Linked DNA regions of Mus musculus. The protein of the gene in region 1 purifies or fractionates together with the protein of each later gene. This does not show direct contact. Links are inferred from orthologs where the notes say so. Each region holds a gene or a part of one and is shown on either strand. Other genes may lie near its edges.

Region 1 (3,353 bases):
GGCTTTCCCAAAGGTAGAGGAGGGGACACTTGCCGTGTTCCTAGCTGCTAAGTATTTAGTTTTTAATTGTGACTGGAGCCCTATCATGTCACATCACCGTGGTGCAGAGAACTGATGGAGGGGCAAGCAAAGAGTCAAAGAGGCTGACTAGGAGCCACTGTTGGAGTTCAGGCAAGCAGTGAGGATGGGTGGAACTTGGCATCTGCCAAGAAGAGATGCCCTTTCAGGGTTAAGCATGAGGACCTGAATGCCAGAAAGTATTCATTGCCACTCTTAGATTTTGTTACAGCCTGGCTATACTTTTGACAGTCATGGCCAGTATGAGTTTGTGCAAGAGCCAAGAGTTGTGTGAAGATGATAAAAGTTTATTCGGCCGTAAAGAGAGATGAAACTTGCAGGTTAATGGAGAATACTAATCAAGGCAGCCCAGAGACATAAATACCATTCGTTCTCTCTCACGTGTGGATCCTAGCTTCCAACAGTCACGTATGTATATTCATGTGGAAGTGAGCGTGAGCAGAGGCCAGAAAACTAGCAAAGGCCTCCAGGGGGCGGAAAACAGGCTTTAAAGGGATGGAAAGGGTAGGGAACACATGTGAAAATGGGAAGGGAGCGAGTGCGGGGGGGGGGGGGGAGGGAGGGAGTAGAGGGTCCAGGGCTGGGGCGATGGGAGCTGAGGGAGTCATGAGAATAAACCAGAACTAAGTATGTATAAAAATGCCCTAAGGACCCCAGTGCACACATACATGCACAGGAGTGAGGAGGAGGCAGCAGGGTGGGTGTGGGTGACAAGGCCCTGAGAGGACACTGGTGAGTGAGGGCTATCAGCTGTGACAGGATGAGTGTCAATCGGGCAACGTGGAGGAGAGTGTAGGAGAGGAGGGGACAGAAGCAGATGGCAGACAGAGGTGGTGAGCTGACCAGCAGTTATCATATTCTTCTGAGAAGTTTGAACTCAACTAAAGGGTGTAACAAGGAAGTGATGTCTCGTTTTTCTCTAAATTTCTTTCTCTTTTAAAAAATCTGTTTACTGTTTATTGGATATAATACTCTTAATGATGACATTTTTCTACTGAACTTGGAGGCTGTGTTTACCTGTAGATTCCCCCATATGAGAAATGCGAACAAAAATAACAGCATGTATCATACAAACGTGAAAACATGAGCTAACCAAAGCGCTATCAATGGACAAAGCCATTCATTGAGATGTAACATTAATCAAAGCGGGGCTAAGCAGCCTGTGGCCAGGCGGGCCAGTGTTTAAAGATGAGAAGTTACATCCTAGCAAGAGGTTCTCCACAGCAGGTGGGGAAGGAAGGACAGTACAGGACAAAGAGGCAAGAATCAGGTGTCCAGGACCTGCTGAAGGTGACAGGCAGGCTCCCAGGGGAGGACTGCCCCAGGTGGAAGGCAGACATAACCTACTGAGCCCAGATGGAAGGCCTGCCACCCGGGTGCTGGCATAATACAAAGATGGGAGAATGCTAGTTGTTCCTGGTCTCAGTGGAGTTTGTGGCTAGGGTAGAAAATGAACAAGAAGAAAGGGTGCAGAGGTTAGAGAAAGCACGGGCCGGGAACAATGACATAATTCAAGCCTGTACCGAGATCCATTCGTACAAATGCATGTGTTGGGGGTGACAGGTGGATGTTAGTGTGGGAAGACAAAGGCAGGACCATGAGCAGGGTGGGAGCTGAAGGACGGGGAGTGCCGAGGGAGGGAGGAGGTGGGGGACCTGAGGGTGGTGGCATGAAAGGAAGGGTCATACAGTATGCATATTTCCTGGGTCCTACTTCTTGTCCTGTGGCCCAGGGCTGTGCACCTTTCTTAGAATCTTTCTCCAAATTTAACAAATATGAGAAGTAGTGTTTCTTTAACCCTCCCCGCCATGTCCAGTGTCTACTGGGATTCTAAGTGACCTATATGCCAATGTGAGTGTCTGTGGGAACTGCCTGTTCCTGTGTGCGCAGAGGAGCACTGTGGGGAGGGAGCGGGTGGCATGCCACAGAGGAACACATGTCAGGAAAAAGACTAGGGAAAGGGAGTGTAGTGCCACGTCCCAGAGCACAAAGACCTTGCCAGCGAGGAAAGGAACTCTCTCAGCCTCTTTACCTATGTGCTGCCTCGTGGAGGAAGACGAGAGAGGCAGACAGTGGACCTGAGCAGTGGTCACGGGGCTGGAGGCTGTGGTTGCCGGGGTGCGGAAGGCTGCCTGGATCACTTCAATGGCCTCTGTGTAGCCCATCTGTTGCAGGGCCTCCATCAGCTCTTTGATGGTACCCCCAGAGACCTGGTAGGAAAAGGGAGAGTATGTTCGTGTGTTCCAGCCTGTTTGCAGGCTGTTAGCGTCCCTTCTCTGTGTCTGCTCCAGAGAGCTGGGGGGTTTGGAGAGGGCAGGGAAGGAACCTGAAGAAACACAGTGCTTAGGTTCTAGTTCCCATCTTGGATCAAATCCATTCAGAAAAATCACAGGAGAGGTGAAGGAGAGAATAAGGGAGATGGAGAAGGGGAGGATAAGGGAGATGGAGAAGATGAAGGAGATGGAGAAGATGAGGGAGAAGGGGGAGAGAGATAAAGAAAAAAGAGGGGAAGGAAGGGAAAGAAGCCTGTGAGTTCATGGAGACAGGAGACAGGAGACTGCCTACGGTGATGTCTACGCACAGAAATCCAGGGAAGACAGCAGCTAGCAATGACAGCCTCATTCGGAGTAGCTCGCCCATGTTTGTCTATTTTTTAGTTTGGAATTGCTCTAATAGGAGTCACCCGACAGAACAATGAAGCCATGGCCCTGGGGGGCTCCCTCTTGCAAACAGGGATGCACACACCGATCACAGCTTGGAGGGGTCCCCATCCTGTGGGCAGTAGTATTTTCACAGGAAGGCTCTGAGAATTTGAAAACAGGGAATGCCGAGAGACGGGTAACCAGTCTTCTCAAGAAAAAGGCGCCATCCTGGCCTGGCTCCCTTTGCCTTCCAGGCAATGACTGGTTTCCTTCCATAAAGTTACTATGTAAGGGGGTAGGCTGTGCTGCTCAGTGGAGCTGACACGGTCAACTACCAATAGTTACACAGACAACTCTAAATGGTACGGCGGCGCGTTACCTCATAGTTGTCCATGAGAGTTTTAGAAGGAGCAGGACTCAGCCGGAAGGCATTGTTCAGTATCCCCAGACCCAACTTCTGTGCCAGAGTGGCCCAGTTTTTGTCTGGATCAGGAATTTCCAGCAGTTTGCAGAGTTGTAGCCTCGTGTCTTCTGTCAGCTGCTTCATGTCCCCTAAGGAAGAAACATGACTGCTTTAACCTTCCAGGGACAATCAATCTGAGAGGACAGGTCATTGTCCAACTTCTGATGGAG
Region 2 (3,657 bases), on another chromosome or scaffold:
CTACAATGAAGTAACACAAAAGACCCTTAGGTAATTTCACATAGGGAAAACAAACTGCTATTAGACCAGCATTTCGAGCCCAGCAGGAATGTAAATTCTAGTGTATAATGCCGATTTCGAGTTAATTACTACTTGCATTTCTAAACGAGACTACAATTATAAATCCACAATAGCATGGTTTTATCATTTCCCTGCAACTTTGACTACAAATTACAGATAGGGACCGTGTGCCCACTCTGCACCACGCAGCCCTGCATGGTCTGCCCTGTAGCTGTAAGATCCTGCTAAATGGATGCTTTTATCGTTCAGAGCTAACATCTGCTAAATCACACCATTGTTTCTTCGGCAGATGGCTTGTCAGGAGGCCAGATAATAAAGATGTGTTTACACTGTATCTTCAGCCAGACTAATGGTCTGATACCGATACGGCCTGTTTGCTATGTCGATACTAATTAGCCAAGCAGAGCCAATGAAAGCTTTCCAAAAGACTGCATACTAATACATTAGATTCATTAAGCTTCATTAGGAAGGTACAAACAAACAGTTTAGAATATGGAATAAGTGCACTTTTATAATGTTTCTTCTCAATTATTATACAGACAAAATGTTTTGACCACTTTACAAAAACTAATTTTAAAAAGCAGACTAATTTGTGTTAGAAAGACTTCCTAGGAAAAATGTCAACATTCAAATCAAAAAAAGCTCCCATTCCGTCTCTTCTGAAAATAAAAGAGAGGAAATGTAAGGACCAAGTTCTGGTACCAGGCTAAGAGGACCAAGAACTAGCAACAGGAAGACTGCATAGCAAGTGCAATTAATTAGATTATTAGGGTTAGCAATTTTCCAACGAGGAAATTAGAGCATGTAAATCATCCATGTAATCAAATTCGCTTTTCAACTAAAATATCCATCTTGTTACTGTTACTAAAGGTTAAGGCAAAACTCGGCAGTTCAGGTCCATATCTATCAGGTTGTGTTTGCAGGTTTTAGGTTCAGCCTTCAGATCTTTTTAAGCAAAAACAAAGCCATTAGTGCAGGCACATAAGCAAACTGTGCCATAAGTCATGATCTTCAAACTCAGTCCAAACAGCAATGCTAATAAAAACTAGCTGCAGAAATGCAAAAGGCACTGAGCTGTGCAAAAGTAAATGACAAGCCTGCCTATCCATTAAAACTAATGGCCTGCACTGCCCATGCAGTCGCTGCTCGGATTCACATGCAAATTTGTATGCAAAGTGTTCAAGCACTTTGTAGAGCATGATAGCCATTAATATCAATTCACGTGTGAATCCAGGGTAAGGACTGGCATCGCAGAGTTCCCCCATGTCCTGGGGCTTACCTTGGAGTCTGCTGTGCTTTCCCAGTACTTTTACAAGGGCTACGTACTTGGCAGTGTCAAGAATAGCCGAAGCATCTAAGCGGTCACTATAAAATAAGCCAGAGTTATGGGAGTCAATTAACTATAAAAACGACAGTCATAGTCAATTGATCACTTTCCAAAAACTAACCAAACAGTCTGCATTGCGATACCCGCCTTGACACATAACGTGTCTGAAACCATGTATCAATTCGAAGTTATTTACAGTCATGAATGCATAAGGAGGACTGCAGAAGCACACACTGCCTGGCTGCACAGGAAGATACTGAAGACACACTTTGTCTTTACAGGTCTTTTCATGTTCTAGCCTTCACTGTGACCACCCAAATACCTACACTTACTTATCTCCATGTTAGAATCTGGTAGTAAAGAAACGCAAGCTGCCTGGAGGTAGACAGGACTGTGTGCAGCACTACAGGGCAAGGGAACGGACGGGCCGCAGCTCACTGGAAGCCGCTGCCGCATGCCGTGGCTTGGGAACTAGAATGTTCTACTAAACTGAAAAGGCCCTGCAGGAAGTATGACATCAGTAACCAAGGAGCCCTTCCAGCATGGGACTTAAACAAACACTGAAAACAAAAGAACTTTTACAAGAATGTAAGAGCAATCTTCAATCCATTCAGTGCATCAGGGCACTTTATACATCTGCTGGTTTATTCCAGTTGCAAGGCACTTACACTTCTTGTTTCAAGTTCCACGCATCTTCTGCATTATCATGTCGACAGCACAAATTTATTAATGCTGCATAGCCACCAATAACCATGTCTGACTCATATTTTGCTTTCACCTCAAGGGCCTTTTGCATATTCTACAATAAAAGGATTTAGTGAAAAGAGAGAAAAAAAAGGTAAAATACCATGATTTTTTTGTTGTGTTGTTCAGAGTTTTAAAAAAGTTGACAGTATTTTGAAAAAAAAAAAATGGTTTCATACTCTTATTTCTGCCCCTAAGGGTGTGCATGTGCAAGCCAGTTTTTATATATATATGCAGGGCTTAAAAGATTTCTTATCTGTAATTTAAAATTAGACTATTACACTATTTTCCAAGTCTTCTCTAGCAGTCTAATTTCCAGAGGTAGAAATCTACAGAACTGAAAAGCCCCTCAGATAGTTCAGAATACAAGCAATGTGACGAAACCTGGTTGGGATGTAACAGGGCCATGACGTCATCTCAAAGTGTAGTCACAGTACACTTCTCCCCTAAACATTCACAGGCATGTGAACAATCCTATTCAAGCAGAAACTCCCAAGTGTAGTGATACAGAACAAACTGCAGACACACTAACACGAACACAAGGGGCAGCTGCAGGCCTGCTGGAGAAGGCAAGGGACCCTTTATCTCAGAAAGCTTTTTCCTAGCAGGAAATGGAATTTCAATCCCTGCATTAACAAGCGTGTTGTATTTGACTTGCAAATGACTCCAGCATGGATCAGTTGCTTGACAATCTGGATATGAGAGACCGGAGCCATGGCTTGAAAGGACACTTGGCATGTATGATAAACCTATCACGCTGTTACTATCATTCACTTTGCAGATTATCATAAACAAAACTACAGCAACCTGAAAACATGTCATTCAAGGTGTCGCTGAAATTAGTTAGCCTTTCATTTAATTGAACCGTTCTCAAGCATGACACATAATAATAAAGTGTAAAATTCATAAACATTATACTTGGTTTGACTTACTGTGGTCTATAGAGTGTCTCACCCCGAAAGCACGCGAAAGCACGCACGCGTGAAAAGGAAAGGACTGTCAGGGTTACCTCCTCTGAGCAGAGCAGCAGCAGGAGCTGCTTCAGGGCAGATCCTACAGGTTGGCCTTCAGCTTTGAGTTTCTCAAGTGTTGATTCCAAATCAGATGAGGTAACTTGAGAAGTCTACATGGGAAGAACAAAAGTTTACTACGGAAAGGAAATACAGCCCTTATCACTCAGCCCTGGGAGTGCCTTGCTTCTCTCTCTGTCATAAATGCCCCAAGGGATATTAAATATTAATCTCAGGTCTGCAGAGGGGGGGAGTTCACAACTCTCTCCTAGATCATCCTAGATGTTCATGTTCTTCTGGGATGGCGAATAGATTTACCATCTCAGAGACAGACAAGATCCCTTGCAGGGACACTATTTAGAATTCTCATTAGAAGCAGTGAAAAAAAAAAAAAACCAACAAAGTCAGATACTACTTACTTTTTGAGAATCTACCTTCTCTCTGTCAACCAGAACCTTAATATCCTAAAATTGGGAATCAAATTAGTACAGAATTAGAAAAAATAGGGGAAAATAT

Evidence for each region. The genes of interacting proteins can lie anywhere in the genome.
Region 2: the proteins of Nfkb1 (region 1) and Lrpprc purify together in Homo sapiens (affinity purification with mass spectrometry; 3 studies listed by BioGRID and IntAct, with this or other methods). This does not show direct contact. The link is inferred for Mus musculus from reciprocal best matches to the Homo sapiens genes NFKB1 and LRPPRC.

What each region holds. Positions count from the first base shown.
Region 1 is NC_000069.6:135,587,217-135,590,569, forward strand, and holds part of Nfkb1 (nuclear factor NF-kappa-B p105 subunit), read right to left. Parts: intron 3,273-3,353; coding exon 3,100-3,272; intron 2,289-3,099; coding exon 2,111-2,288; intron 1-2,110.
Region 2 is NC_000083.6:84,749,169-84,752,825, forward strand, and holds part of Lrpprc (leucine-rich PPR motif-containing protein, mitochondrial precursor), read right to left. Parts: intron 3,606-3,657; coding exon 3,561-3,605; exon of another isoform or gene 3,557-3,560; intron 3,255-3,556; coding exon 3,141-3,254; intron 2,187-3,140; coding exon 2,056-2,186; intron 1,426-2,055; coding exon 1,340-1,425; intron 1-1,339. UniProt on the Homo sapiens protein: May play a role in RNA metabolism in both nuclei and mitochondria. In the nucleus binds to HNRPA1-associated poly(A) mRNAs and is part of nmRNP complexes at late stages of mRNA maturation which are possibly associated with nuclear mRNA export.